Linked DNA regions of Rhinolophus ferrumequinum. The protein of the gene in region 2 interacts with the protein of the main gene of each other region in a pairwise test. Links are inferred from orthologs where the notes say so. Each region holds a gene or a part of one and is shown on either strand. Other genes may lie near its edges.

Evidence for each region.
Region 1: the proteins of MIF4GD (region 2) and ATP-dependent RNA helicase DDX19B interact in binary tests that used the Homo sapiens proteins (3 or more experiments, as listed by UniProt). The link is inferred for Rhinolophus ferrumequinum from reciprocal best matches to the Homo sapiens genes MIF4GD and DDX19B.
Region 3: the proteins of MIF4GD (region 2) and EIF3G interact in binary tests that used the Homo sapiens proteins (3 or more experiments, as listed by UniProt). The link is inferred for Rhinolophus ferrumequinum from reciprocal best matches to the Homo sapiens genes MIF4GD and EIF3G.
Region 4: the proteins of MIF4GD (region 2) and ATP-dependent RNA helicase DDX19A interact in binary tests that used the Homo sapiens proteins (3 or more experiments, as listed by UniProt). The two-hybrid records come from large-scale screens. The link is inferred for Rhinolophus ferrumequinum from reciprocal best matches to the Homo sapiens genes MIF4GD and DDX19A.

Annotation. Positions count from the first base shown.
Region 1 is NC_046298.1:22,020,704-22,028,702, reverse strand, and holds the start of ATP-dependent RNA helicase DDX19B, read left to right. Parts: upstream 1-4,809; 5' UTR 4,810-4,954; coding exon 4,955-5,011; intron 5,012-7,999. UniProt on the Homo sapiens protein: ATP-dependent RNA helicase involved in mRNA export from the nucleus.
Region 2 is NC_046304.1:50,290,314-50,298,200, forward strand, and holds the start of MIF4GD (MIF4G domain-containing protein), read right to left. Parts: upstream 3,228-7,887; 5' UTR 3,066-3,227; intron 2,869-3,065; exon of another isoform or gene 2,697-2,868; intron 1,746-2,696; 5' UTR 1,702-1,745; coding exon 1,614-1,701; intron 747-1,613; coding exon 637-746; intron 379-636; coding exon 223-378; intron 135-222; coding exon 42-134; intron 1-41. Other genes in the region: SLC25A19 (mitochondrial thiamine pyrophosphate carrier), read right to left, coding at 5,361-5,543, 7,671-7,801. UniProt on the Homo sapiens protein: Functions in replication-dependent translation of histone mRNAs which differ from other eukaryotic mRNAs in that they do not end with a poly-A tail but a stem-loop. May participate in circularizing those mRNAs specifically enhancing their translation.
Region 3 is NC_046301.1:40,042,132-40,050,444, reverse strand, and holds the start of EIF3G (eukaryotic translation initiation factor 3 subunit G), read right to left. Parts: upstream 3,298-8,313; 5' UTR 3,214-3,297; coding exon 3,194-3,213; intron 3,046-3,193; coding exon 2,999-3,045; intron 2,489-2,998; coding exon 2,405-2,488; intron 2,295-2,404; coding exon 2,206-2,294; intron 2,105-2,205; coding exon 2,045-2,104; intron 1,229-2,044; coding exon 1,124-1,228; intron 1,029-1,123; coding exon 839-1,028; intron 1-838. UniProt on the Homo sapiens protein: RNA-binding component of the eukaryotic translation initiation factor 3 (eIF-3) complex, which is required for several steps in the initiation of protein synthesis.
Region 4 is NC_046298.1:21,991,778-21,999,404, forward strand, and holds the start of ATP-dependent RNA helicase DDX19A, read right to left. Parts: upstream 3,362-7,627; 5' UTR 3,241-3,361; coding exon 3,184-3,240; intron 406-3,183; coding exon 357-405; intron 1-356. UniProt on the Homo sapiens protein: ATP-dependent RNA helicase involved in mRNA export from the nucleus.

The DNA.
Region 1 (7,999 bases), on a different chromosome or scaffold from region 2:
TTTATGGGATTACGTCTCTCAGGAAAAATAAGGCAGGCAGTTAGAGACGGGTAATTGGGTCTCTGCATTCCTGCACATCAAACATAATCTATGGGGAGGACAGGCTGGAGACCTCCTGAATTTTTTTCTTATCTGCTCTAGCCATTAGCCACTGTGAGGACATAACTAAATTGGACCAGTCGCTCACACCTGCATGGTAGAAGGCCACCACCTCCATCTCACCCTACCCTCATTATACCATCATTGTAATACCACACATATGCCCAGTAGTTCATTAATATCATTATAACAGACTGAACTCTAGGAAGGGACATGCACAGTCTAAGAAGATGAGGTAATGGCTCCTTATCAATCACAGGTGTCAATCAAGTGGCCCCACACCTGGAGAGGAACAACCCATCCTGGAGGAAAAAAAGACAAAACCTCTAGTCTCCTGTGAGCCACCACCCTTGAGCCCTTTGAGCCTTTTGAGCAGCTTCTTTTGCTCGGGACCTGCTCCAAACCCTTTGGAGTGTACTTTTGCTTCTAACAATGGGCTTTGAGCCGCTTTTCTTTGTGCTCAGCCCACTCCTAATTCTTTGGAGTGTACTATCTCTTCTAATAAACTTATTTCACCACTTTACGTCTGTGTCTCGTTCAATTCTTTGCTTCAGATGCCAAGAACCTGGACACCATGCCGAGGAGGACCCATCCTCTGGTAACGTAGCAGCTAGGATTCCCAGTTTTCCTCCCCGAGGCCCGGGTTTGACCCTCGGTGTGAGAGACAAGCCCGGACACTGCCAGGTTCGACCCCCAGTGTGGAAACCAAGCCCAAGCATCTCACCGAGAAGGGCCCCCTCTCCGGTAACAACTCCAAACCTCATACTCTTACCCATTCCACTATTACCTACATCATCTTACATGTCCAAAACACATGGGTATAAAATTGAGCTACTGGTCATAACAGGGTTAAAAATATTGCAGAAAAATATTGACTTTCCTTATGTAAAATATAATAGCATCCTACTTAAATAGAAAATCAAGCTTAAAAGCCAATGAGAAATAAATCACCTGAATTAACTTCCCAATTCACAGCAACGCATTAATAATTATCATTACACCTAACATTTGTTGAGCACTTCATATGCAGCAGGCACTGATCTTAGCTTTTGATCCTCATAACAACCTTATAATGAGTTACTGTTATTATTGTTTTTAACACTGAGGAAACTGAGGCAGTAAGGTTAAGACAGCTAAAGGCAAAAACCAAGAGAGACAAGTGTTTGTTCTGATCCAAATGGGCCCAAAAATGTTAGGCATATTTAGCCTAAACAATCTGAGAAATGGGTCAGATTTATGTGCCACCACAATTAAAATGGAAAGCCAAAATTGTACAAATTGTGATTTCAAAGTAAAAGAAAAGAATATAGATTGTAGTCTCAATAATTTTGCTGTGTTGCCAGAGTTGTTGCTGTTAGGATAGCACCTTCACTAATGAAAGAATTTGAGACAAATTAAAAATAACTGTTTTTTTCATTCACCCAGTGGCATACGAGGAAAAACTGTAATTGAGGCCCCAAAGTCACATTCTTCCAAACATGAATTTTCTACAGGAATTTTTCAGATAATTATCCAGTTCTCCATGATATTTTTCTCTCATAGATAATGTCAACTATGTAATAGAAAGCTATCTTTTTTTTTCTGGTTTATACTTAATTTTTTTAAATTAAAGTTTATTGGGGTGACAATTGTTAGTAAAGTTACATAGATTTCAGGTGTACAATTCTGTATTACATCATCTATAAATCACATTTTGTGTGCACCACCTAGAGTCAGTTCTCCTTGTATCACCATATATTTGATAATCGAAAGCTATCTTAACGCATCATGCAAATTGCATACTTTAGGAAACTTATTATTCTGGACTAAGCAATAGGCCTGTTGGTAAGAGTGATTGCTATACATATGGCTTGCTTGGCAATAGAACATTGGTAGAACCTCACCTTGGGGCATGAGCAAGATAACAGGGGTTCAAGATGGTACAATTAAAATACTTAGTTTTGGAAAGATGTAGTCCTAGTTCTAACTCTCCCGTGGCACCTAAGCTACTTTTAGCATCTATAAAATGGACTTAGAATGTTCATTTATTTGCTATCAGATCAAGTGGGGTTGGCCGAATAATTGTTTTCAGATCATAAGGTGCTATAGGAATTAGCTGGGATCTTAAAATAGAGATCCTGATTTAGTAGGTCTGAAGTGGGGCCTGAGATTCTACATTTGTAATAGGCTCCCAAGATATGTTATCTATGCTGCTGGGGGATCACACTTGGAGTAGCAAGGGCCGAAACTGGAGCATGAAGTTTTTCATCTGTTTGTTCAAAGACAAAGATTAAAAGGTTTGATGGGGGAGGGGGTGCGGAGGGGTTCGTTCCCCATCTATTTATTCATCAAATGAGTGTCTGTTATGCGTTAGTCCCTGAAGATAAGCATTAAAGAAAGCAGACACTACCCTGCCCTCATGGAGTTCCCAGCCTAACCAGTGAGAGCTACATTTAGTGAAAAATGACAGAACTCACCCAAAGGCACCCCCCTGCTGGAGCCTAGAATTGTCCATTTGCCCCAAGGTACCTGGGTGCGTTGATTGGCTGGCGGGACTGGCTTCCAGGCTTCAGCCAATGAGGCTCGGGCGGCTGTTAGTGGAGGTAACTGCCATGCAGTAGGGCGATGGCTGGGGTTGCTGGCCACGTCCGCGATCGTGCCCCGGAGCGCTTTCCGTTTGCCCTACCGGTGGGAGACGTGAGTATTCTTAGAGGGTAGACATGAGACCTTTTTTTCTACATTTAGTTATCGTCCTTGCCCCCACCCCATTAACTGTTAATAATAACAGCTAATATGTATTGAGTCTTCTCTATAGACTGCGCACTGTACCAACGGCCTTAACCTTGTGATCTCATTGAATCCTCGAACTGTGAGACAGGTACTTAGCGTGATTTCAGAGGAGGTGGAGGTGGCCTAAAGTCATGTGGGAATACATGCTGGAGGCCTACTTGATATCCAAGATGCTCTTATTCCTGAGTCCTCTTTCCGCACTCCACTTTGGAGACCAGATTCCTCCTTAACAGGAGTTTCACATTGTGCAGGTGTGGGGTGGCATAGGAGGGTCTAGAATCCTGATGCTTATTTTTAAGCTTTTTTTTTAAATAGAAAAAGCAACACATGCTAAAGGCATTTATGGAAAGGAGAGCTGCTGTCTCTTGGGATAGCTATGCAGGCAACTTCATTTGAGTCTTATTTTATTTCTTAAACCCTGAGGGGAGAACCTAGATGTTTGTTATATTATCACCTTTCTTATTTGTCTGAAATACTCACATGCACATGGAAAATAAATTTCAGAGTATAAAGTGTACACAACAAAAAGGAAGTCTCTCCCACCCCAGATTTTCTGAAGCCCCTCACTAGAAGCAGCAGCCACTGTTATCAGTTTTGTGTGTATCTTAAACATTTTGTATAGTAGGTACATATACGTGACTTTGTTTTGTTTTGTTTTTGCACAAGTGGATTCTATTATATACATTCTAGCACCTTGGCTTATTTATTTTTTAACCTCATTAAACTTGAAAAACATCCATTAATTTCCTTTAGCCCTGTGATCAGTATAATTTCTCTGGAAAAATATTCCCAGGGTTGCTTCTGACATGATGAGATGTAGGTCACGGCTTCCCCAGCTGGCATTTTCCTTTTTCTTTTTGCAAAATCCTTACCTATATAGGTTCCAAATAAATCTTCCCTAAATTAACCCCTAGAGGGTGCAGGAGAATAAGAATCATGGCAAGTAAAGGATTGAGGGGAGCTGCTTTATCCTTTCCCAAACATTTTGACTAATAATCTCCAGGTAAAATTCCACATAGAGCTCACTACTGCTTGAAATGAATTTATCACAGTGGAATATTGGCAAAGTGAGATATGTGGGGATTAATTTTTCAAGTTGCATGAAAATGCACAGCTTCTTTCTAGTGAAATAACAAAAGGAGAGAAGCTTGTATGATTAATGTTAGAGAAAAGCATCTGTCATACTTAATCCCATTTTCACCTCTTCTAAAAAGCATAAGGTATTTTTGCCTTTTTAAAAACCTTCCCAGTCACACAACCCTTACACGGGAGAGCTGGGATTCTGATCTAGGCACAGTTAACTTCAAAAGTCATGCCGATTGGGAGGCGTTCCCTGGAGTGAACTCTTCCGCTCATTAAGCCTCATTCACCTACCAACTTCTTCATCCCTGGCTCTTGTCATTTCCCTATAGAAATTCAGTTGTCTGTTCAGCTCCACAAACATCCCTGCTCTTTCTTGTCTCTGATCCTCTACCTGGAACACATTTCCCTAGTACCTTCCTGGAGTATTTCTCAAGGTGAAATTCCTTTAAGTCGTGTGGCCACGTACTCTGTGGGACAAATTTTTAACCAGTGTCTGAGAGGGCTGACTTCCAACACCCTGGCCCACACCAGGACATTTGAAATCACCAACCTGAAAAGTGAGAAAAAAAGATCTCGTTTCAGTGTGCGTTGTGGTGACACCCGTAATGGTTTTGTGTTTCTGTGTATGCAATCTATGTGAGCTGCTTCTGTGCCACTGTGCTGGGCTCCGGGAATGGGGCTGTACAGCCCGTTCACTAGAGCTTAGGCCCTTTAAGATAACTACCTCAGCCTGCGGTTCTGGATGTTGGATAAAAAAGCGTGAGTTAGGCAGGGGTGAGGGTGGGGGTCAGAAGGCGACAGAAGCGACAGCCCCAAAAGGGTCAGGGCCCGCGCGGCCTCCGACGTCACTGCGGCGCGCCGTTTCCGGTCCCCAGCGCCGAAGCGTAGGACTTCCCCCTCGGTGGCGCCGAAGCCGGGCTTGCTGCGACCCCCGGGAGCCCACGATCGCGCCGTGCCAGCCAGCGAGTCGGCCAGCACCAGCGTCCCACCTGCGCCTGGGACCATGGCCACCGACTCGTGGGCCCTGGCGGTGGACGAGCAGGAAGCGGCGGCCGAGTCGGTGAGTTGGCTTCAGCTGTAAAAGGGTCAGAGCGCCAGTTTTGGCTGGGGATCAGATCTCTGGGAAAGGACGCTGCCTGGGCTGGTCAGGGCCGGGATGGGGTGCGGGAGGGGATGGAGCCTGGACCCTGAGCTGGCTTTGTTTACCCATCCGCTTCCCAAATTACGTAAGCGCGGTTAAGTGCTCCCACGGATAAAGAGCCCAGCCTGCCTGTCTTCCTGTAATCCCGATTGGTCGTAGGTTGATTGCACTCAACAACCTGGATTGTAATCCATTTTGTAGGTGTCAGTTTCCACCTCCCGATTCTGAGCTTCTTGGGTTTAGGGACCATGGGTTATACAGATCTGTGTGCTTCCTCAGCTTACTAAGTGATGATGAATGAACCACTCAGTAGGTCTGGCAGGCAGTAAATCCTCTCTTGATCTGCTTAACTTTGTTCTGGGCCTGACATCCAGTAAGCAAGATAAGGAGTTAAACGTTACTATCTAGAGTTAATTTCTCCCACGTAGGCATTCTCAGTTCTGATAGTGCTTTGAACTTCTGTTAGTACTTATTTCTGTGAATTCCTGGAGAACAAGGACTTTGTCTTATTTTCTATAACTGATAAAAAATAAGTGTTAGGCACGGCTGGAGGAATGAGTTTCTGGAGACCAAAATTGGTCTATCAGAATTTATTTGGCATGTTTGAGCTGCGGGAGGTCAGGCTAGAAAAGACCATAAACTCCCTGAGTGAAAAGGGGTATGGAGTTTTATAGGAGGGGGTAAACGAGGCTATTCCCCCTTCAATGCTTCAGGGGGGTTTCAGGGTACGACCAAGCCCTCAGGTTCCACATTCTAGCCCCCAAGCCTGCTGATCCTAAGCCCCTAGGAGACAAACACAAGCCAGCAGGTACAAAAGACAAAGCAAGACAGAAATGGCTTTTAGGATAAGCAGGTTTCTGCTCTTGGCCTAAACATGGCCTAACAATAAGTAATATGCACATAGTTCAGAGAGTCAAAACTTTTAAAAACTGGTTCCCACCAACACCACCAATTTTTTCCTTCCCAGAGACAACTGCTGTTTCTCTTGAAACTGATTTACAATATTGACCTCCTTGTTCCCTAAATAACATGCTTGTTTTGCTACTTCTTGAATTTGCAGCTCTAGGTATTTTTTGATTTTTGACTCCTTCCTCCATCCCACCACACAAGCACACCTTCCCATTCCTTATCTTTTCATTATATTTTAGTTACATCAGTATTTCAGGTTTATATTAGTAATTTATGAATATTTTCACTTTCCTGTAAAACTTTGTTTTTCCTTGGAATTTGTAATTGTCATGTGTGTTTGCTTTGTGTTCTCTGTACTTATCACCAAATTCAACCCCAAGCTCTTTGCTAATGAAACAGGGCCCGATTGGCACCGCCATAGTAAGGGCCTCTCCCGTCCTTGGCCTCACCTTTCCTTGTCCGACCTAAAGCTTACTAACAATAATAGATCAACCCCCTGTGGCTGGAGCTCAGAATGTCCCCTGTCCCACCCAGTTCCCTGTTTTAAATTACCCTGACCCTTAGGCTTATTGATCACAATCTCAATTGTCCAGCATTCTTTCCAGTCTAGTCCCATCATTGTTCTTGGGTTCCTGACTCTACCAGAGAATATCACTGTAGCCTCTGGAAGAACACCCAGATTTTCCTTTAAATACCCACACTGGACTGAGAATGTTAAGGTAGTTTTTGGAGGTGTTAACCCGCTTCCTTCTCAGACCACAGGTGCTCTGATAATAAACGCTTATTCTATGACCCAATTCCTCTGTCGGTCAGTTGGCTGAGCAGCGCAGGCAGCACGAGCCCCGGACTTGTTTGGCTTCCAGTTTTACTACTGTGTTTCCTAGAAAATAAGCCCTAGCATTATTTTTCAGGATGACATCCCCTGAACATAAGCCCTAATGCGTCTGTTGGAGCAAAAATTAGTATAAGACCTGGTCTTATTATCGGGGAAACACGGTAGTTGTCTATCTCAGGATGTGCAGACACAGCAAGTATTTTATCAATTTCACTTTTCCCAGGTCTTTTAGCCTGCTTCACATTGAACTAGTTCCCCCTATGTTCAAAGCACAATGATTTTGGGGGATGGAGGGGAACAGGGCAGATTTCCCTTTGCCTTCATTCTGGGGATTCTCTCCTCTTCTGTTGTATTGTATTCCCTCCTTTCTCTATCCCCTCTCTTCATCTTTCTTGATTTGGTGGAGCCATTCATCAGCTTTCTGGAGGTGTGTTGGAAGTAAACTTTTTTGTTGCATTTCCTAAAACATCTTATTTTGCCCTATCATTTGGTTAATAGTATGGCTGGGTGTAGAATTGTAGGTTGGAAGCTATTTTCCTGCCAAATTTTAAAGGCATTTTTCCATTGCCTTTTAGATTTCTGTATTTGATGTTGAGATGTCTGAGACCATTCTGATTCCTGTTGTGACCTGTTTTTCCCTTTCTAAGCTTGGAGAATTTTCTGTTTATTTCCAGTATTCAGAAAATTCATGATGATGTGTCTTGGTAAGGGTCTATTTTTATCCATTTTAATGGGCACTGAGTGGGTCCGTTTCAATCAGGCAAATTCTTGGCCTCTGTTATGGGAAATAGTCTTGAAAATTTCATTGTTGATTTTTTCCCCCATTGTTTTTTCTACATTCCCTGTTTCAAGAATTCTTATTAGTTGAATGTTGGATCTCATGGGCTGGCTCTCTAATTTTTTTAAGTCAAACTTATTGAGGTATAATATATAGCAAAATTTACCCCTGTTCTGTGAATTTTGACAAAGGTATCCAGTGGTGTAACCACCACCACAATGAGATTTTCTCAACTGCTTTATAACCTATTTCATGTTTCATTTCTATCATGTCTTTAATTTCAAGAGCTAACGGTTTTCTTTTGTTGAAAGAAAACTGTTCTTTTTTTTACAAACAATATCCTGTGTTGCTTTAATGGCTATAATATCCTCTCATCATTTTGAGG
Region 2 (7,887 bases):
GAAGTGATGACCTCGAAAGCCTCCATGCCAGGGCCACCCACCTCCTCCTCCTTGCTCAGACTGTCCGGCTGGGCCAGCCGGAAGAGGCAGTCATAGACGGGGTTCACCAGGGCCATCATGGGCATGTTGTTCACCTGTGGGGGAGAACGGGCCAGAGCACCGGCTTAGTAGCCTTGGGAGACGGGCTGTCTCTGCCACACAGGATGGCTGCTGGGGCCTCACCCTCAAGTAGTCAAAGATGTTGCAGATAAAGGTGACATAGCAGACCCAGCCCTGCAGGGAGCGGGCTCGCAGCTGCTCCCGAGCTTGATACTCCTGCTGCAGCCGGTTGAGGAGTCCACGCCGGAAGACACTCTGGCCTGCCTGCTTGCTCTCTGCCTATGAACCAGGGAAAGGATGGCGAGTGGCGGGGAGCAGTGCCGTCGCAACCCCAACCTGAGCTTCCATGGCTGAGGACCCTCGTGGCTTACTTCTCTGTCTGCCTTTGGCGGAAGCCCTTTGCATCTCCGCCCTGCTGGCCAGGCTTCTGCCCACTCCTGAAGCTCCTTCCTCAAAGCATCTCCCCCTTTCTCTCCCAACCCCACCCGACCCGGATGATGGCTCAGCGTCTCCCCTCCTCTCCCAACCCCACCCAACCTGGATGATGGCGTAGCACATGCGTCCTGCTTCCTTGCTGAACACACAGTCCTGCAGAGAATGATCCACAATCACATCGGCCACTTTCTCCAAGTTCACGGCACCTGGATCTGCGTAAAGATAGGCAGGCAGTCTCGATCTGCTTAATTATCACATTTGCCTCCGCCCGCTCCTAAGGATTGGAGATGTTTACACAAGAGTGCACCCGTTATATGCTCACGTTCAAAGCGTCCAGAACACACACGGAGAAGTGACCGCACGTAGGAGCTGCTCCAACCATAAGCCTCCCCGTGGCCCACCCAGAGGAAACAGGGGTGGTTACGTGGCTGTCAGAGACTAATCAAAGAATGCTCGTTTTTTAGGACACACATCTCCTAGCACTAGGTTGAGGAAGGAGCACTGAATAACAATGTTTTTGACAGTGGTATCACAGAAGAAAGTTCTCAGTACACACACATGAACCCCTGACATGAGCGGGCCATCCAGGGCCTTCCCACAGGCTTAGCTCGGCGTGTGATGGGCACTGGTAATTGTTGGCTTAGTCAAACTTTGTCCTGAGTGCTGCAGGAAGGCCTTGGTCCAGGACAGGTACTCTGTCTCCTCTTCCAAGCAGAACACTCAACCCTCTGTCCCAAGTCGGGCAGCTCTGCATATTCAAGAGAGTTGGTTGTAGTAACGCAGAACCGGGTCCAATGTAAGGACTTAAGGGACAGGAACTGTGTCCTCTGTGCGCTGCCCTTTCACTGATACTTCTACTTAAAAAAAAGACTTTATGACTTTACATTCTGAGAGGTGACTATGATTCACTCCTAAATCCTGGTCGGAATGTAGCTTGTCTTCCAGTTTGCGAGTTACGTCACTGACTCCTCAGAAACGGAAGGGAGAGGGAGGGCTGGGTATTCCCAGGCTAAGGCTCAGTCCTCCAGTCCTGTTCCCGGGGGCCCAGACCCAGGCTCACGAGGGCTCCCCATGCTCACCTTTGAGTGCTGTCTTCAGCAGCTGCTGGGTCTCTGCATCAAAAGATTGGATTTTATACTCCTCTCTACCAGGCTCCCCCATGACCATCCAGCCCCAGCAGCTCTTTACTGAGGTGGGACTAGTGACAGCACCTGGGGAGGAGGAGAGGTAAAGGGGCATGTCTCAGATGTGGAGACACGTGGGGCTGGGGTTCCAGTCTGCAGACCCTGGGTGGGGCTGGCCAGAGATTGGGACAGGGGCTCCTGGGCTGTCCTTGGCATTTGGTGGTTGGCTGAACACCCAAGCTTGGCTTCTGCTGGAGACTGGGGACCAGCCGGGCACCTGCTGCACAGTTTAGGATCCCCTGTAACTTCTGGGATTACACAAGAGTAAAGAGATGAAGGGTGAAATCTGCCAGTCCCAGTAGTAGGCAGGGTTATTCTCAGCTAATACCAAGGGTGGGGTGGGGTGCGCTGGGCTGGGCGTGTACATAGGTGGATGTTAGATACCGCCCTGCCTGTGGAAGCCGGCCTGGAAGCTGCTGGCCCAGCACAATTCCCGACCAGTGAGAGGGCTGGGGGCTCCAAGCTAAGCACCGCCGTCCCAGCAGGCTTCCAAGCCCCTCTCCTTAACCCTCTCGCTCAGCTTTGGTCCGAGTCCTCAGTCCACAAGACCCACCCTTGGGGTTGGGGCCGGTCTGCGTGAGTGGGAGCAGGAGCCTCCTCTGCGGCCTTAACGGTTGGGAGCCCGAACTCCCCTGTCCTGGCTGGCTTCTCTCAGGGACGGACTGGTTAAACTGGCCTCCCGAGTGGCAGAAACCCGGCCCTGCCCACTCAGGACTCCCAATTCCTGGGCTCCATTCTAGATCCTTCCTCTTAAAGAGGGGAGCGGGATGGAGAGTCCCCCAGAGGTATTCCCCGTTGGAGGCACCTCTCCGAACTCGGTGCCTCCCCCCGGTCAAAGGAGACAACGACCTGAGAGGTCTCCAGACCTGGGCAGCTTCCCTAACCCCGGAACGCCCTCCCCGCGGCGCAGGGCCGGCAGCGAAGGCCGCCGTCCGGTGTCCCGCGGAAGGCAGAGGCGGCGTGAGCGCCGACACCCACCTGCCGGGTCGGCACTGCGCCCGCGTGCCCGGAGGCCGTTCGGCGGGCATGGTGCGCGCGCCCCGCGTCCACGGCGTAGCTGGTGCGACCAGTCGCGCCTCGCCTCAGCTTAGGTCATTTCCTAGAGCGGCGCCAGCGCGCGGCCTGGGGCGGGCCTGGGACGGGGTGGGGGCGGGGCCCGGGGCGGGGCGGGGGCGGGGCCGCTCCCGGCGGGTCGGAGGCGGAGCCGCCTCTCCAGCGCCACCTGCTGGAGCCCCGGCGGCGCTGCTCTCTTCGCCGGGTCCGCCCCGAGGTTCCTGGCGTGGGGCCGAAGCGGGGCCGAGCGCGAAGTGCGCGACACTGTTCCCCCTGCCCCTGTCGTTTCCTCACCCGATTCGCCCAGGGCCTGTCCGGGACCACAGTGGCTCGTCGGCGCAGGGTTCCTGTGCCGACAACTCCCGGACCTGCTCCTCCGCTCGCAAGAAGCCCTTGGTCTTATGCGGTGCCACCCCTCCCGCCCCACGCCAGGGGCTCAGGTTAAAACCCCGTCAGGAGGAGACTCGGCCGAACCGCGCGGCGTGGGAGGAGCCTGCGGGGGGCGTGGTTCATACCGGGGCGGCTTAAGGGAGCAAGGGGGGAGGGTAGAGAAGATGGCTAGAGGGGTTAGGACTTCACTAGTGATGGCAGCGTGTCCCCCACTCCCACCGCCCAAGGTAGAGAAGGCATGGGGTGTTGTAAGGACTGGATCAAATCCCACTGACTCCCTCTCGTACTCCAAATACACATAATAATGGTAAAGTAAGTTGAAAATCAATGGGCCAACCCAAGAGAAAGGGTCCCAGTTGCCAACTTGCGACCATGAGGTGTTGGAGTAACCCTGAAGGTGAGCTCGCTCCTGGGTCCGTCTTTCTTGGCTAGGGCTGGAGGAGAGGCGCGGGCCCAACAGCCCAGACAGGGTCATCCCTGGGTAGCAGGAGGACATACATTAGGGGCTGCAAAAGAACTGCCTGCTCCCTTCGCTTAGACGAGAAGTGTGAAGGGTGGTTTCCTGGTGCCAAAGTTCTGTTAAAAGAGCCACCAAAGTGGTCACTAGAAAATGGATGAGAACTCTCAGCTTTAGCAAAAGAAACCAATGAGCGGAGAGATGAAGAAAATAAAGTTTACTTCATAGGAATTTCATAAAAAATACATTCAAGCAGCTGCCTCCGTGCAGCCCAAGCCTCGGCCTTAAGCTCCAAAAAGCTTGTGAGCGTTGGGAGTGCCCTCCAGCCAGTCTGGACCTTCATAGTCAGCAGCCAAGGGCAGGGAAGCTTCAGGATTCAGGTTCCCAGACGTATCACAAAGCCCCAGGCCAGAGCCAAAATAGTAATGATGAGAGAAGGGCCCAGGGTTTCTGGGCAAAGAGAGCCATGACCCACCAGGCCAGCTCCCAGCCGGTGTCTTCTTCCTAAGTCAGAGCACAGGCTACAGCCAGAGCTCAGAGGTCGAAGTCCTGCGTAGAACTCGCGTGCTCTTCCCCACAGGCCAAGCACCCCTCTGGGCTGGGGACAAGTGGATGGAGAGGGTGGGGGCTGTGTTCTGTAGTTCTTCTTCTCTCATACCCCTAACTGAAGTCCTTGTGCCTATATGGATATCTGTTGTGGGTTCCTGTGCTCTGACAACTGCCCTGGGTACCAACTGCGCCCTCAGCAGGCTGTCTGCCCAACCCCTTCCTTCCGCCACCCCCTTCACGGGGCTGCTTCAGAGCTCAGGCTCTTCTGGGGTTATAAAACAGACACAGTGCCATGCTGAGCTGAGAACGCTGAGCGGGCAGCTGATGCCAACTGGCCCAGCTGTAAGTTCCCACTCACCTGTGGGGTAAAGGAGCCATCCCAGGTAGACTGGAGAAAAGGGCTGCTGCCTTTACCCACCTCTTGTCCTCCACAAAGACCCCTGCTTCCTGCGAGGCTGCTGGTATCTACCTCCCCTAGAGCCTGGGCTGCGTCCAGTCCTGCGTCCAGTCCTGCCTAGGCACAGGAGAGCCTGAGTGGTACATCTACAGACACGCAGGTCTGGACATGGAGGGTTAGAAAGTGACCCATGCAGCTTAGATTCCTTCCCCAGAACTAGAAGCAAAGCTGCCTGTGGGATGCAACTCCTCAGAAAAGTGGAATTTAAGAAAGGCTGAGATTCCTTCCCTCGTGCTTTGTGAGGAGGGATGTGACTTGGAAGCGAAGATGGAGGAATAATGTAAGGAATGTGCTTTTAGCTTTAATGTCTATTAAATAAGTTGGTGGGAATCAGAGCCCAGATGTGGGGACCAGACCCCTGCCAAGGGCTGAGTCCCCGCCCTCCCACTCAAACTGCAGCTCCCCCAGAGCCAGGAGAGCTCTTGGCGCAGAGGGCTAGAAAGTGCGGGACAGCAGCTGCTGGCAGAGTAAGGGCCTGGCAGAGGAGAAACTCTGAACTCCTTGTGACTGGAATGGCTGGGATCCCACAGACCCAGTCTGCAGTCCCCCCGCCCTTCCAGTGGCATCCAAGCTGGTGGGATCAAGGCTGCAGCCCCGCTCCCATGCTCAGGACAGCTGGCTTGGACGAATGGACCAGGCAGCACCTCTCTGTGCAACACAAGATTGTAGATCAAGTCTTACTTCTTCCAAGAGGTCGCCTCGAGTGAAACCTCAGGCCACCTTGTGGCCATCAAGGCTAGCTGTCTGCCTTCTTCATGTGGTGGAAGAGGTCACAGAAGAACTCATACCAGAAGAACACGAAGCCAGTGGACAGGGCAGCCTTCAGCAGGCTGGGGGACAGGCCCTTGAAGAAGCCCTGTGCACCTTCCTCCCGCAGCACCTGCTTGGCACAATCCATGAGGCCCTTATAGCTTCGAACCTGGGGAGAGGAAGGTGACTCTGGTTGAGAAGAGAGGTGATTACAACATGGATGTTGGCTCTATTCTTTTGTCTACACCAGGGGTGTCCAAACTGCGGCCCACGATCCATTGTTAATTGGCCTGCAGCAAATTCCAAAAATATATTTAGTTTACTTAAATAAACCAGGTGAGGCAATACGTACTTCACCTCGAGTGAGTGGCCCGGCTGTGTGTGTATTTTACCGCATATGGCCCTTGGTGAAAAACGTTGAAAACAGTTTGGACACCCCTGATCTACACAATGCCTGGAACATCCTAGCTCCCAATAAATACTTGCTGGATGAAGGAATGAATACAAAAAAGAGGGAACAAATGAACCATTCTTTCTCTTCTGAGTGGGCTAATTCAGACTTAAGAGTTGAACTGCCTGGAAATCAGCACTGGACAGAGCTCCTTCCTGCCCAGTGGATTCCCATTGACTGGCTCTTGAGAACTCAGTGAGAGCTCTGGACACATTTCCTAGAGATGCCTCTGACCCTTCACCCATCCCTCCTGGGCAGTAGATCTGAATTGGCCCTCATTAGCTCTTAGCCTGACTAGTGCCACGCCTCCAGCCTGGCCTTCCCAGTCTGTTGCAAGGAACAACTCTGCTCAAGCCTGGTTCCCTTCCAAAAGGTCCAGTAACTCCTGATGACGACGATGATGATGATGGTGACATTATATAGAACCAAGTCCAAGCTCTGCAGCCCGGTGTTCATGTGGCCTCAACTTCCCTCCCTGACCTGCACTTTTCCCCCACTGGCCCCCCACGGCCCTTTCCACCTCCAGCCACACCGGCCCACACTGGTCTCCGGGAGGAGCAGGGCCTCCCCCCTCTGTCCGGGGCTCTCACCAACTCTCCCTCTCCAATTCAAACCGTCCCTTCAGAACCAGTTGGTAAACGGAAAAAGGTTATGAAACCTTGTCCACAACCCCATTTTTGTTAAAATATACATGTGAGGGGTGGCCAGTTAGCTCAGTTGGTTAGAGCGTGGTGCTGATAACACCAAGGTGGCTGGTTTGATATCCACATGGGCCGCTGTGAGCTGTGACCTCCTTAAAAAAAGAAATATATATATATATATGTACATATATATATACACAATTATGTATATATATATATACATATACATATGTCGTTTCATTTCTTTGCATAAACTCATACACGAGTCTATGCAAAGAAATGAAACTACAGCCAAAAGTTCTGTGATTATCTCTGGGTGGGTGGTGTTGGAGTTACATGTGCTTTTTATCTTTCTTTCTAGCTTCTTGTCTGTCTTTTTGTCTTTCTTTTGTCTGATTTCTCTAAAGTCTTCTACAGAGAAACTGTATTACAACTATAAACCCAATTCTTTCTCTTCCTCCGAGCCAGGCGTGCTCCCTCCCTTCCTCTGCCGTCCCTCTTTTGACACCTGTCAGGCACCTTTCTTCATGCCTTGTCATCCCAGGTTCACAGCTTCTGGAGGGGAAATCCCTGGAATGACCCACCCTTGCCTCAACCCCACCCACTACTGACTACCACTGTGGCCTTTCGCAAAATGAGTGCTCCAGGAGTGGGTGAAAATCCAATGTGTAAAAATCTAAACAGACTAAGGAATGACTATTAACGTTAGAAAACTACCTACAACGGGGCTTCTCTGAATGATAAACCCTTCTACTGCATTTAAAATATAATTTTGTTGATCAAATTTAATGCACCCTTTCCAGGAACACCTATAGCACAAAGCAAAGACCCCAGGCACCAGTGTGAGTCTCCTTCTCCGTGTTCTTTGATATGTTAGAGACCTTTCTTATGTGAGTATTCTCTTCAAATGGGACGAGTATTCGTCCCAAACTGAACTTAACACTTTTTTTTTTTTTTTTTTATCCCCACCCCGAACTTGACACTTTTTAAGAGCAGACACAGGGAATTCTCCTCCGCCTGGATCTTTCCACAGTGCCTAATATACACAGGGCTTTGCGTGGAGCTTTCCCATGTGCTCGGGGCTCCCCAGGGACAGGCTGGAGGTGAAAGCATGATGGGCGCTAATGGGGAGGAGCTGACTCCTGTTCCTTCATGTGCCCCGTGAGAGGCAAGGATCAGAGCTGTTTGCAGGGGGACAGCTCACCTGGCCAAAGGTGACTCGGGCCTGCTCAAACCCTCTGACCTGCAGCCGCTTCTTGAAGAGGTCCAGGGGATACGTAAGGGTCTTGCTGATCACTCCAGCTCCACTGCCACAAAGCAGGTTTTTGAAGTTCCCTGAACCAGAGAAGTAGGATTGAGGGGAAAAATGAGAAATGCAATCTAGGGTGTAATGCTCCACCATAAAACAAAAACCCACAAGC
Region 3 (8,313 bases), on a different chromosome or scaffold from region 2:
CGGAGGGACAGACCCACCCACGATGCCAGCAGTTCCAGCCTGACATAGCCTGGGCACCAGCTGTCAAAGCCACAAGGATCTGGTTGGTCCCTCAGAGGCCTGGTGGCCATGATCACATAAAGCTCACACCTAGGAAGCCAGCAGCGCAGGAAGAGCAAAAGGCATGAGGGTTGATTGGGTCTGAAGTGCCTACAAGGCTGAGAGCTGAGGAATACTCAGCCTACTCTCACCACAGAGCAACATGGGGCAGGGAAAAGCCCCAGGGGACACACGGCAGGTGACAAGCACGCCGCACCCAAAAGTCAGATGTAGAGCTGTCTGGACTCAAACTTACCCTCAGCAAATCACGCTGAAGGACAAGGACCGCAGACAGTCAGCTGTGTGTCTGCTCGCAGGTGTGTGTGCACAGAAGCACACACGGGGCAGCCGCCGCACCATGGCAGACAGACACGGCACACTCACGTCAGACCATCTCCAGTCCGCAGCAAAATCACTGCAGGCATGTCTCACTCACGGGGTCGCCGTCTCCCCACTCCTCCCGGTGAGGTACACAGGCATGCACACAAGCAGGTCTCACAGCCCCCGACAAGGAGACAGGTGACATCACCAGCCGTCACAACACCCACCCGGCCGGTCTCTCACACACACACAAACACAGACTGTAGCCCACAGGCTTTGCGGAGCTGACACTGTGGTGTGGGAACAACAGCTACGATGGACAGCCCGTTCAGAGAGAGCAGGTGACAGACCAGGACTCTCCAGAAGGGCACACAGCCTCCCCCTCCACCATGGTCCCCATGCAGCACGGCCTGCCAGCCGCACCCCCAGCCCCCGGCACCTCCAGGCAGCTTCTCCTTCTCGCCAGTAGACAGGCCCAGCTGCTCGGCCAGCTCCTTCTGCATGGGCCCCAGCGTGTCCTTGTAAGGGCAGCGGGTGGTCCAGTGGTCGCCCTTGCAGATGCGGCAGGACACGATCTTCTGGCCCTTGAGCTTATTCATCGGGTCCTCCTCCTCTTGGCAGTTCAGATCCTGACAGGATGGACAAGGGCAGCTCAGAGGAGGGCTGCTGCACCCCTGCCACCAAGAGCCTGGCCAGCACCTTCCCGCCCTATTGCCTCATTTACCTCTTTGCTGGTGATGAAAGTCATGGACACATCATCGCTGACCGTGGTGGTGGCCACATTAGGCCCTGGTAGGTCAAACTCTGAGTTCCCAAACTTCTTCCAGTTCTGGGCTCAGGGCAGGGTGGGGACAGGTCAGGGCAAGAGCAGGTAGGACCACCGCCCCCTGGTACCCAGACCTGCAACAGCGCCCTTCAGGGTGACTGAGCCTTAAACCCCATTCTCCACCCTCTCCAAATGCCCCCTATAGCAGTGACGATGACAGTTCCTATTTCCTGAGTGAGTGCCAGGCTTCACGCCAGCTCCAGGAGGCAGGGGCAGTTCTCACCCCATATTCCAGATGAGAGAACAGAGGCTCAGGGAAACACCTGCACAGCCAACAGCTCCTGGGGGGGCTGTGCAGGTGGTGGCCCAGCTGCCACCAGGGAGTAATGCTCAGGAGTATGCAGGGGTCATCCAAACTTCGGGGGCCTTGGGCTAAACAACCTGGGCCTCAGCTTCCTCTCCTATAAAATGGGGATCACAAATGCTCCCCACCTCCCTGGGTTGCTATGGGGATCAAAATGAGAAAACACTTCCCACAGGGCATTTGGCATGGGGTCTGGCACACAGTGTGCAGATAACTGTGCCAAATGGATTTATTGCTACCACTTCCACTGCTATGACCACCTCAGGGGAACGTTTAGCTTTGTTCCTCCTGGTAGACAAGTCAAGAAGCATAAGAAGCTACCCAACCACTCCTGCAACTTGGACTGTTTGGGGCCTCAACAGAGTACAAACACTCCTCGCCTCAATTCTCCTCCAATAAAATCGGTTAAACTCTTAGACCTCACTTCTGAAAATAAAGGCACTGGGAAAAAGGATTCTTAATTCCTCTGAGTTAGCCCTGGGGTAAGCCCCCAAGACAAGGGAGCAGGGTCTCACCTTCCTCCTTGCAACAGCCTTTGAAGCCTTCCGGGTCTCAATTCTGAAGGTGCGGACAATCTGTGGATGGGAGAGGAGAGGAGAGGAGACATTTGGGCTTCCTGTCCTCAAGGCTCCTGGGCCCAAGGACCCGCCTGACACACCCCTGCTCCCAGCCTCACCTTGAACTTTTTGCCATCCTCATCTATCTTGTACTCAGTCACTGTCTTGATGTTTCCATTGATGACCTCCTTAGGAGACGGAAGTGGAGCTGGATGAAGGGAGAAGGGGAGAGGAACTGAGCCACGGGTAATGGGGTCCCCGCGGAAATGTGGCTGGGGAGAGAGGCAGCCCAGGCATGGAGTGGAGGTCATCACTCACCTCCTGGCAGTAGCTCAGGCTCTGGGCTGGTGTCGCCAGTGGCCAGAGGTATCCCCTTGAGGAGTTCGCTGGTGACACATTTGTCTGTGAGAGGGAGTGTGGGGAGGAGAAGTGAGGTGAAGGGGCGGGAGCTCCCAAGCTGAATGAAATACAGGGACCTTTAGGATGATGCCCACGCCAGGACCTGAAGAAGGTGGGACCGGGGGCAGAGGGCTGGCCAGGAAGTACCCAGGGACAGCTGTGCGGGGACACTGAGCTGGCTGTAGTGACCCAGAGCAATGGCAAGGATAGGGGGCCGCCTGGCATAAAGGCAGGGAGGGGCAGGCCATCAAAGCATCCGGGCGCTGGTACAAAGGCAGAAGGCAGGCTGTTACAACTTCCTCCTGAGTAGGGGAGCGGCTATGAGGGCTTGGGCTGTGAGGCCTGGGGAGGAAGAGGGACTGGCCAGTGAACATCTGGAATTGGCGACAGGCTGGCGCAGATAGGGATGGCGCGGGGCAGAGGCTGGCCGTGGGGGGCGATGCGGGGTCGGCCGGCGGTGCCAAGGTAGAGGGCTAGAGCAGGCGCAGTGACCGGACGACCTGGCGTACTCACCGTCCTCTCCTTCCTCCTCCACCTGGTCGGCCCAGCTGGGCTTCGAACTGCGGGGACAAGTTTGTGGGAGCAAAGGGGTGAGCCAGCGAGGCGAGGCTCCCGCGGCCTCCGCGTACCCAGGCCCCAGAAAACCCCCGAGGACCCTTAAGGCACCTTCCGCCCCCACACCCCACCTTCTGGCGACCCTCGACTCACTCAAAGTCTCCAGTCGGCATCGCAAAACCTCCACGCAGCCCAAGCCTGGGCCAAAGACAGGAAGTGAGGGAAAACTGAAACTTCCGTTGCCGCGGCCTAGAACAGCCCGGCCGCGGGGCCCACAGCGCCCCTTGCGGACGGAGGGGGAGGCGCCAGTTGTGTGAGCTGCTACGCGCTAGTACCCAAGTAGGAGCAGAAGCGTTATCTCAGGGCTTATCCCTTTACCTTTTTGTTTTTAATTGTTAATTATACCTCAGTAAAAAAATAATAAAGTAAAATAATTAATAATAACAATTATGCCAACTCATTAAGCGCTTGCTGTGTGCTAGGCACTGTGAGGAGAAAATTATCATTTCCATTTTGCAGCTGAAAAAAGCAAGGCTGGTCTTCCTCGTCTCCAAAGCACTTCCTGATTCAGATGCTCAAGATGTCAAGTGGCGCCCTCAAGCACTCTCCTTTCTTTCCTTTGTAAATTCTTGGCTCTCTGATATAATCTTTAACACTTACTTGTTTATTGTACAGCTCTCCCTTTAAAGCATGCATTCTCAATGGGAGCGATATGGCTCCCAAGGGGACCAAAATTAATTCGGGTGGGGGGCAAAAATCCTTAAAAATTACAATGGCTTGTGGCCTTCCAAAACCAACCCTCTCAGACAAAATCTTATTACTAAGTATTTAATTTCTGTCATTAGGGAGAAATTAAATGCAATTAAATTGAAATTGATTGACTTACATTAAATTTAAAGACAATTCCATCCTTTTCCTTTACAAGGGTGATAATGAAAAAAGTTTCATTATGTGAAACACTGTTGTAGAATGTCAGCTGCAGAAAGCAGACATTTGCCTACTTTGTTCACCTGTGGGTCCCCAGCACCCACAGGGTGACTGCATGTAGTAAGTGCTCAATTAATGGGCATTTAGGGGGGCAGAGTGGGAATCAGATCATAAAGGACTTTTTAAACCAAACTGAAGAGTGTAGTCTCTTTATCCTGTAGGCAGTGGGTATGGGTGAGATCACTGACATGTTTTTTGTTTTTTAATTCTTATTGGGGAATATTGGGGAACAGTGTGTTTTTCAAGGACCCATCAGTCATTGTCCTTCAATCTAGTTGTGGAGGGCGCAGCTCAGCTCCACGTCCAGTTGCTGTTTTCAATCTTAGTTGCAAGGGGCACAGCCCACCATCCCATAGGGGAATTGAACCAGCAACCCTGTTGTTCAGAGCTTGCACTCGAACCAACTGAGCCATCCAGCCACCCCAGAGATCACTGACATGTTTTGAGAGGTGACCCAGTATGACCAGATTTTTTTGTGAGAAAGATTATTTTGGAAGCCTATAGAGGGTAAAGTAGAAAAGAATGAATTAGCAAGAGACCAGGAAGGAGACTGGGAAAGTGAGTGAAAGAAAGAGGGTGGTCTGGAAATAAGGATGAAAATATAAAGTTTGTACGAAGGGCCAATAAACATTTGTGCACTTACTCAAATTTACTCCAAGAAATGCAAAATACAAACAACGTAGCAGATGGGCAAAACTTTAAAAATGTGATGTTACCCAAAGGTAGCAAAGATGTAGAGAAACAGAGGCTTGTACCTTTTGTTGGTATGTGAAATTATGCAAACTTTTTGGAGGGAAATTTGACATATACTAAAACTTGAAATGCACAGATGTATTTTCCTTTGAGCCACCTAGTAATTTGAACTGTGAGAAAAACTTGTAAATGTTTGCAAAGATGTGAAAATAAGATACCCGTGCAGGATTGTTCATGATAGCAAAAGTCAGAAACAATTATCTGTCCATTTGGTAGGGCTGGTTAAATAGATTAAAGTATGTTTTTTCCATTATCTATGGAATGCTATGCAGTCTTGAAAGAAGTAGATTCATTTGTGCTCATGTTTTAAAAAATCACGATAAGAGGAGGAAGCAAGATGTAAAGTGGCATATGCTATAGGAACCAATTTGTGTAAATCTTTAATTGTACATAGATATGTAGATATATGCAAACTATTTTCAGAAAAGAAATATCAAACTGTTGCTGAGGGATGCTCTGAGAAAGGCATCAGGGGAGAAAATCTTGTTTTTGGACTTTTCTGCTGTATTTAAAATTTTTTACCATGTGTATGCATATATTATCTTGATTTAAATATAAATATATACATAAATATAAAATTTATTTTATATACTTTATGTATTAATATGTAGTGTTTATGTAATATATGCGCGATGTAACATATAAATGTATTTTACTATGTTTTGTACATCCACTACCTTCCATACCCTCTCCTAGGACTAGCCTAGGAGAGGAAATATACATCCAAGTGCATTAAATTGTAAGGAAGTATCCAGCACAGTGTGGCTTAAAGGATTGAAAAACTGAAAACTATGCAACCATCATGAATAAAGAATTAGCTAAATGTTGCCTCATCCATACAAGCACCACCCCTGGAGAGACACTGTACTGCCCAGAGGACATTAGCCACTAAACATGGATGCTTCTGGGTGTTTCGATTTGGCCTCATCTTTACTTCCATTTTGGTATTTTTCTGCATGGAATACTTTTTCTTAAACATCTAGGATGTATCATTTTTATAAAAAGTCAAGTACTTCCCAAAGAAACGTAAAAGGAGGCCGGAGGAAGCATGGGGCAGTGGGGAGAAGACTGAATCCAAGGGTGGATGGGGGAAAGTCCCAGAGCCCCTCCTCAGTTTCTTCTTGGTGGCACCAACTTTCTTCCTACATCTGGCATCTCCAAAGGACAGCAGCCAGCACAGAGCAAACCCAGCTCTGCAATGTGCTTGAGGAGGGGAGCGAGAGCATGATATGCCGTCCTCTGGAAACTCTGCAGCAGCTTCAGGGGGGTTTGCTATAACTCACAATATGGATTCCACTTCTTGGTGTTCTCCATAAGAAATGGAAACATGTCCACAAAAAGCCATGCGTTAGAATATAGACACGGATTGTTCATAGCAGCTTTATTCACAATGGCCAAAAACCAGGAACAACTTCAATTGGTTCGCTAGAGCTTCCATGACAAAGTACCACAGACTGGGCAGCTTTAACAACAGAAATTTATTGGTCTGTCTACGGTATTGCCACACGCCCAGTCTGAGAACTGGGACTGGAATAGAGGTGGTGCTGATCAGTAGTTGTCTGACGCTGTCCACGTTTTCTATTATAATAGTAGTCACAGATGGCTACATGTGAGTGTAGATAAAGCCTACAAGCACATTACACATGTGCACAATAATGGTCACCGGGGCAATGACAGGGTATTAGAGAAGCTTCCTTGTGACACTGAAAGGAGAAACAAACGCTGACCATTTTGTTTGTTGTGGAATTCACTGTACTTTTTCTACAGCTGGCCTTTTTCTAAAAACTCCAAACATGCTTGAGGGAGAAAAGCAGGTTGCAGATAGATATGTGCAGTAGAATAACATTTATCTTTTTCAAAGACACGGAGAATACTAAGTGTACGGACATGCAGATGTGGTAAGTGCCAAAAACCATGGACAGGAAGGAGACATAGCCACACTCTCATAGTGGCTGCGTCTGGGGGAAAAGTAGGCAGGGATCTGGGAAGTGCACAAGTGTTTCAGATGTGCCTTGAAAGTTATTTTATGAAAAAACCATCTGCTGTGATGGGAAACAGTTTGGCAGTTCCTCAAAAAATTAAACACAGAAATTCCATATGATCCAGCAATCCCACTCCTAGGTATACTCTCAAGATAATTGAAATAGAGGTTATTGGGGCTGTACAGGGAGGAGGGAATGAGGAGGTAGTGTTTAATGGCTCCAGTTTCTGTTTGGGAAGATAAAAATGTTCTGGAAATAGTAGTAATGGTTGTATAATAATGTGAGTGCACTGAATGTCACTGAATGGTACACTTGAAAGGGTTTATATGGTTTAAAAAAACCACCCAAATCCAGCCATGATTCTTGACTGAATAAATTAGATCATTAGGGGTTGCAGAATGATTACCTAAATCTACTATTTCTCCTACATTTATAAACTGCCATTCTATCGGAAATAGAGCGTTCTCCTCATCAGCAGGCACCATCTGGTTATCATCAAATACAGTTCCTTCTGGATAAAGGCTTGCTTTTCTCCCTTTAATGATTTCAAAGTGTGACATTTAATAGTCACCTCAAATGGTAACGAGGCTTTCAGCATCAGTGGATTTCATTAATTAAATGTATGTCAGTTAACTACAATCACTATTCTTATCAATGCTCCAATTCCACCAGGTTTATCTTCCCAGGAAAAGTCTGAACTTGAACTCTGATGGAAGGAAGAACTTCCCTGCAGCCAGCCAAGGAGCAGGAGCTGCTGGAAGTTGTGTCCCCTTCCTTTGCCCCACCCAACCAGAGCAGTGCCCCTCCTGGGTCCACAAGCCTAGCCTGGGCCAGTGGTCTCAGGGTGCATGGAGGTGGGTGTAGCTCACAGCAGCCAGTCACTTGGGCCACCACTAGAACTTCAGCCCTGAGGGACAGCCCATCACCCCGCTGAGCCTCAATGGCTGATTCAGAGCAGGAAACAGACACAATTTCTACTCCTTATGCTAAAGTGAATCATCAAATTATTCTTGATAGCATATTATATATCTGAAACGAAGACCTCAACTATAAAAGTACCCAAAAATAAGGGGATTCAGTAAGTTGGCTAGGTTAAAAAAATACATAATCAATATACAAAGTCAATAATTAATACAAGTCAATAATCTTTCTCTGGACAAAGGACCACTGTTTGGAAAATAACATCCCATTTATATTAGTAAAGCGTTAAATGCCTGAGTCAAGTCAAGAAATTTACAATATATTAAAACTTAAAAATGCTATGAGGGACATAAAAGAATATCTGAATAACCAGAAGGACCAATCCTGTTCTTAGAAGGGAAGACTTGTCATTAAGATGTCAATTTCAAAAAAAAAAAAAGAGAAAGATGTCAATTTCCCCCTGAAGTCTGCAAATTTAATGCAATCCCTACAAAAATACCCACTAGATTTTCAGAGGATGTGCAATTCTAAAGTTTTGACCCAGCCATTCAACTATTAGAAATGTCTCATGGATGTGGATTCACACACGTGTACAAATGTACGTACCACAATTTGACCAACAGCCCATTG
Region 4 (7,627 bases), on a different chromosome or scaffold from region 2:
GTGGGAACTGGGTAAATGGTGGTCTATGGTGGGAAGGAGGTCTTTCATTATACTTTCTCAGTTTTGAACCCGGATTAAACTTTAAAAACTAAATTAAAAACTTTTAAAGAAACATTATCAAGTGAACAGTGACAGTACAATCCAATAATGATTCTTGATTTTAAAGAGTCACAAGCTAGATAAAATCTGGAAAAATATATCCCCTTCTGTGTGAAACTGACTTTACTGGCTGTCAAATCCAATGCTGACATTTGCCAAACATGCTAAATGAAAGCTCCTTTGCACACTGCAGCTAAGAGTGCAAAATTGAAGCAAACTTGTAGCTTGTATCCAGTTTACAGTTACTAGTGACTCACCATTGGTATCTGGTTTGACTTTCTCTTCCTTGATCTGCAAATTACTGATCTGAAAAGAAATTTAAAAACACTTGAGAGCAAGCCACAGGATAACATAATACCATGAATTATTTATTAAGTTAATGTACACAAGTCTATGTGGTAAAATAAAATGGGGGTGGGGGAGGGTTTTCTCCAACTGTGAAGAAGCAATGTTTTAAAACATTTAATTACACCACCCTTCTGATAAGCAGATTGGTTAGAACCAGGTACCAAGTATGTTAAGGCCTACGTTTGTGACATATCACAGCTAGATTAGATCATAGGTTTAAAAAGTTTTGAAACCAATTCTTGGTAATTATCTTTTAGGGAAGATCTGATGCTAAACATTAGATTGTAAACTCTAGAGTGCCAGAACCATATACTAGATAATACCTTTTGATTTCTTTGTGGACAACTGCCAGTTTTATACATCTGACCTGATTTCTTCTCCAGAACTCCAGTACCACATTTCCAAATGTCTAATGGGTGCTGTGCAGAAAAGAGTTAACAGAGCAAGGCTGACTACTATCCTTAGGAAAGCCAGCTTGCAAGGTTGGCCCTTGGCTGGCATCTGGGAATATGGATTTTGAGAGGGCTCCCACCATTCTCAGAAATTCTGAGGGGGTCCCTATGCTTGTAAAAACATGTGGTTCATGTTAAGACCTGCTTTTCTTTTGGGAATCTGGAATTTGGGTATAGGCTCAGCCGAGGATGACTATGTAACAGGCCCCTCAACAAAAACTCTGAGCACTGAGTGTCTAATGAGCTTTCCTGACAACACTTGATGTATTGTTACAATCTATTGCAGGAGGAATTAAGCACACATTAAGTGGAGCATGTGACTTATCATCTTTTTTCTTTCAAGATTTTTTCTTTGTCTTTGATTTTCTACAACATACATAATTAAACATATTTACATTTTTAGCAATTATCTTGTTTGCTGTTTTCAAAGCATCCTAGATCTGTGTTTTGGCATCTGCCATTAATTTTGCATAGTTATTGGCCAATATAGCTTCCACTATTTCTTTTACTGTCCTCTCTTCTCTTTCTAGTGCACCCTTTTACTTTTAGCATACGCTTTTCATTCTTTCTTAGATTTGGAAGAGGATTTAGAAGCTTGCGCCTGGTTTTCTCAGGACTTTGCTCCATGAGCCCATGTCTTTTGCTAATTTTGCTTTGTAGTTTTTCATTGAATAAATCATAGCTGTGAGTACCATTATATGCTGAGTCCGTGAGTTCTCCTAGGAAATTATCAAACTTGGAAAACTCTTCAGAACTCCCAACACAGGTATTTACCAAGATGTCCTCTTTACCTCAAATTTGGAACAGTCAAAAGTAAACTCACTATTTTCCATATCAGAACTGCCCTTCTTCCCACTCTCCTAGTCCTATTATTAGGATCCAATTGAAAACAGTATCTTTGCCTTCCTCTCCCTTCTATTTTCTAAATCTTTTCTATTATACTTCCACAATTATCTCTTAAATCCAATCTTCACTTTTACCACCCAACATATGACTTCTATCTGGGCTATTGGCATCATTTCCACACTGATCTCCTTTCCTTTGGATACTATTCATTCCTTCTAATATATTATGTTCTCTGTAGTCCAACAAATCTTGCCAGCACTCCATCTAATTTTGTTAATATCCTTAAAAATCCCCAAACCAACCAAATAAAGCCTCTCCTCTTAAAGTTTTTAGTTAAGGTCCAAAAATATACTCCCTACAATATTTTCTATACTGCTTCTACTACAACCCAGTAACTCAGCAAAAATTAGTTATGATTCCTGTTCTCTAAGCAAGTGCAGCACTTTTATGCATTCTATTTTCCTAAAATGCCTTTCACCTCCATCTCTACCTTAAATGACTCATTCTCTAATATCCAGTTCAAATGTAAATTACTTGAAAAGGAATTTCCTACTCATTAATGTCTTCTCCCTTGTCCGAGTTCAGTTATCATTCTTCTTACCATTTTCACAGCACTTTCCACTTTCTAGCCTTCCTAACTAGACTGTAAAGTTTCTTCCTATTCTCCAAGGAATTAAGCCCATTTCAAATATCTGCTGACAAACTGACAATTCTCCCAACGCAATAAAGGGTGACTGGAGAAGAATGTAATTTAGGTATTAAAAAGTTATTTAAGATTTCAGACTACAAAAACAAAACAACCAAAAAAAAAAAAACCCACCAAAAAAACAAACTGTATTCCTAAAATCAAGTCCATTATCACTAAACAAATCTAAACTTAGACACAAAAACAGAAAGTTACAGTTTAATTATAATTATATTCCAGTTGAATGGATCTTCATTTATCAAAGAAGAACCAGTTTACGAAACTAAATGTTACTTTAAACATCAATGAAACAATTTGTCGTGCCTCTCGCCAATATTTGCAGTAGACTAAAATATATATAAACCTGAATCTGTTATTCTGCAAAGAGCTACAAACTGCCAACCACTTTAAGCATGGATCTAAAAAAAATGTTAAAATAAGCACAGAATCGTTCAGAAAACAGATGAGAAAGAATCAGCATCTAAACGCCTTTCCTTACAATCCCCACAGAAATGGAGATGCAGTACAGGAAAAGACAGCCTATGTAACGGGGTCAGATTTGCCACAGGATAAAAGTCTCTAACAGGCCCAGATGAAGAAAAAGGCTCGATATTGGTCTCTCTAGGCGCACATCAGGGCTGATTCCCCGGTGGGCCCCGGGCCTGCCCCACCTGTGGGGCTCCCTGGATTCGAAAGCGGGTCCACTTGGCCCGCCACCGCCCCTTCTCCCCGCCCGGAGCTGAAGACACTGACCGACTTGACAGCCGCTTCCTGTTCGTCCACTGCCAGGGCCCACGAGTCGGTGGCCATGGTCCCAAGGGAGGGAGTCCGACTCGCGAAAAAAAGTACCGCACCGCACGCCAACACTTGCCCCGGTTCCCCCGCTTGCGCGAGACCGACACTCTCGCGGACCGGAAGCGGCGGTGAGAAAAGTGACGTCAGCTCCTGCCTGGCGCGAGACGTCACCATTTCGCGCCGCGCCGCCTCCCAGCCTGGCAGCCTCTCGTCAGGCGCGCGCTCGAAGCTTCTGTGGGTTTCCTGAGGCGCGCAGCCTCTTCGTTCCTCAAAATCTCCAAGCCGTGCGTAGTGAAGCTCTTAGCTCTCACTTTGCCATGCTTCACACTGAAGTTTTATTCTTAAACCTGCCTCGTCTCAAATGTGTCTCTGAACTCTAAAGCCTTACACAAAAGAAAGTCCCGTGAGAATACCACGTGGTGCCAGTTTCTACTCTTAACGTGACAACAGGTAAGACGACAAGAAACAAAACATAACCAAAAGCCCTTAAACCCGCTTTCCCATAATTCCACCAGTCCAAAAAATACAGCAGCGTTTCTTGTTTTCCTTCTGGGTCCTTCCGGTCATTGTCCATACACATCATAGCACGGGTATTTTACATAGTCCTAAACAAAGTATATATACAATTTAACATTTGACCTTATTATACGGCTAAGTGTTTTTTAATGTCATAATTATCAATTTAAAAACATTATAATAGTCCAAGCTCATATCACATAAATTGCCTAACTCCCCAACTCCTAGCCCCTTGGGGATATCAGTTGTTTCTGATGTTTTATCATCAGTTGATACCTCAGTGAGCATCTTCACACCACCAAAAATCATCTTGTTTGTCGCCAGTTTGCTTTTTGTCTCCCCACTACAATATGAACTCGAAACAAAAGCAAAGACCTTAAATATCTTGGTTACACAGCTGGTTAGTGAACCTAGAAAAGTTCATGGCACATAGTAGACTCAATAAATATCTTTTAATGTATATGTGTATGAATAGACTAACAGATTTTAGTTCAAAATGTATCCCTCTAGGACACATTTCTAATCATTGCAACATTTATGTCAAAATGTATGACTGACTTGAATACTTGACAAAAGAGGATAGTCAGGACATGGAAGGAGTTCGAAATCATTAGTTATTAAGAAAATGCAACCAAAGTCACAATGAGATACCACAGTACACCCGTTTGAATGGCTAAAATTAAAAATTGACCCACCATGTGTTAATAAGGATATGGAATGTTAAAAAATTATTCAACGACGTTTGTTAAAGATGGTAGGGAAGACTATTCAGGACCATTGCAATAGGTATAGGGATCATTGCAATGGGATGTTTGCAGTGGGGGGAAGAGCTTGGGCTCACTTTAAACATCAATGGGCAAGTGGGAATTTATAGCCAAGGAGGCAGGAGGTGGTATGAGTGGATGAACAATTACTAGGAGGAAACATTAGGGGCGTTCTGGTAACCAGCCTAACACAATTCTTGCTGAAGACAACCCAGAGTGATCAGACATCAAAGGAAGGGGATGGTGGAAGATGAAGAACATGATCAGATACTAAGGGTGATCAGATATCAAGGGTTCTTGCTAAAACATACAAGGAAGTGCACAGATTGGCCTAGCAGAAGGCTCAAGAGCCTGACTAAAGTTTGGCCAAGCAAAGAAACTTTGTCAGGAGCAACTGGAACTCATAGGCTTCTGGAAAGAATGTAAAATGGCACAATGGTTTTGTTGTATAACTTTTTGGCAGTTTCTCAAGTTAAGCATGCACCTACCCTTTGATCCAGCATTTCTACTACTACTTATTATCCAAGAGAAATGAAATATATGTCCACAAAAAGATTATACAAATGTTCATAGCAGATTTACTCAAAATAGCCCCAAACTGGAAACAACACAAGTGTCCATCAACAGAATGGATAAACAAATTATGGCATATTTATTCTACGGAATACTACTGAGCAATAAAATGGAACAGACTACTGATAAACGAGATGAAATACATTAATCTTACAAATATGTTGAAGGAAGAAGCCAGACACAAGAGATGCATACTGTATGAGCCATTATATGAGATTCAAGAATAGGAAAAACGAAATCGATACTGATAAAAATTAACAATGGTTGCCTCTGGAGGGGGGAAGTTTGGGCAGGAGACAAGGGAAATTCCTGGAGTGATAGAAATGTTCTCTATACTTGATTGAAGTCCTGTTACATAGATGTATAAATTTGTTAAAACTGTATACCTCGTTTTACTAGGTTTCACTTTATTGTGCTTCACAGGTGTTGCGTTTTTTACAAACTGAAGGCAAGACACTCCATTAGCAAAAAGACGACTACTTGCTTTGTTGCAATACTCGCTTTTATCACAGTGGTCGGGAACTGAACCTGCAGTATCTCTGAAGTATTCCTGTATTTGCTTTACTGTGGTGGTCTGGAACCGAACCCACAATATCTCCAAGGTATGCCTGTATTTTAAACGTCATTTTATTTTATATAAATCACCCCTCAATAACATTGATTTAAAGAGCAAAAGAAAAGGAATGAACTACTGATACATGCAACAACACAAATGAGAGATTTGCCATCGCATTATGTTGAGTGTAAGATTCCAGACATGAAAAAAATATATGGTACATGATTCCATTTACATAAGTTAAAAAGAGATATTTATAGTGATAGAAATCAGAACAGTGGTTGCCTGGGGATGGGCTGGGGTGAGCAGGATTGATTGGAAGGGCACAAAGGAACTTTAAGGGCTGATGAATGTTCTGTATCTTAATTAGAGTGGTAGTTACACATGTGTATACAATTGTCAAAACTCATGGAATTGTACACCTAATATCTGTGCATTGCACTCTACATATATGTCAGTTAAAAAGAAAACAGACAATGCAATGTAATTTAAAAAATCGAAGTTTAAAAAATACAGGTAGTAATAAGTCTATCTGTACTGTATAAAAAGGGAGGAAGGATAAGAATATTTTCTCAGCTCTTAATCACTCATTAAAACAGGGCATGCACACACTATGCTACAGAAGTGAGAATGCCAAACACCATACTGTCTTCCCAAAGGACTAGTCTAGTTCCCAGCATCCTCAGCACCAATGAGCTACTGCTTGGAGGCTACATTGTTTTTTGGGAGATAGCACCATGGCCTAACTCCTTGTTGGGCAGCAACCCTAGGGGACACTGCAGATTGGTTTTCTGAGGAATAATGCTCTTGTCTTACTTTTGTAGCAATCACTTTTTTAAAAAAGATAAAAAACTAGATGTTGAGGCATCTCACCCTCTTACTCTTTAACTCAACCATCTACACAGCAAAGCTTTCCATAAAAATCAAAAGCAGCAGCACTAAAAGACTCAATTGTAAGTCCTTTGTGGCAGAGGTCATTAGAGCAAAAATTGAAGTCTGGGTGCCCACTGGGTGCCCTATATCAATTGCTATTTCATTACAAAGTGCAGCTGCTCTAGCACTCATATGATGATGCCTACATTGCTTCCACTGAAACACAATTCCTAGAGCTAAACATAGTCACCTGGGGAATTGAGGATAGGATTTTTGCTTGCATTGGATTTGTAGGGCATTTGCTGGAATTTCTTTTTATTTATTTCACTGCCTGCACCTATTAGAAGACTCATTGGCATTTGTTTAATCTAGGTGAGTGCTCTCAGGGAAGACTCATTGGCATTTGTTTAATCTAGCTGAGGCTCCAACTGGAACACTGAAACCAGCCCGTCTGTTTGGAGCAGCTCCGGGCAATAGGGCACGCTCTACTAGGGCTACCACTCCCTCCCCCTCAGCTAATGTTTCTATTCCAAAAGGCGGGTATCCAGCCAGAAGCCAGTGAGAATCGCACTCCTCTCCAGACCAAGACACGGGAAGGGCACATTCTCCTGAAGCTGCGGACTAGATAAACACCCTCCTGTCCTAATTCGGATTCGGTTAGACTGAAAAGATAAAAAAGAGTTAACATTTTTTTAATGCATCCTACACGATTTACTTGAATCACCCCCCATTTAATTCTCACAACTTTCCTACTTTATCTCCATTGTACAAATAAGGAAATTGAGGTTCAGAGAAGTTGACTTCGGCAAGATCAAATGGCCTAGTAAGTGGCAAATCTAATATTTGTATTCAGGGCAACCCACTTCCAGGAACTAATGGGTGACAAAACCAAAACCAAGGGCAGAATAAAGGCTTTCCTGGGACCTGGGACTTAACTTTTAACTTTTGGTTAAGAGCCCAGCTGGCCTCTGATTGGCTGAGGCAGGTGAGCCAACCAATCATCAGAGTGCAATAGCTTTTCCCAGGGTACTTTGTACTTGGCTGTTTTGGCCTGAATCTCTGCTGAGATGCTGATTGGATGAACTTGAACTGCGACTTGTTGACTTGTAACAGGATGATT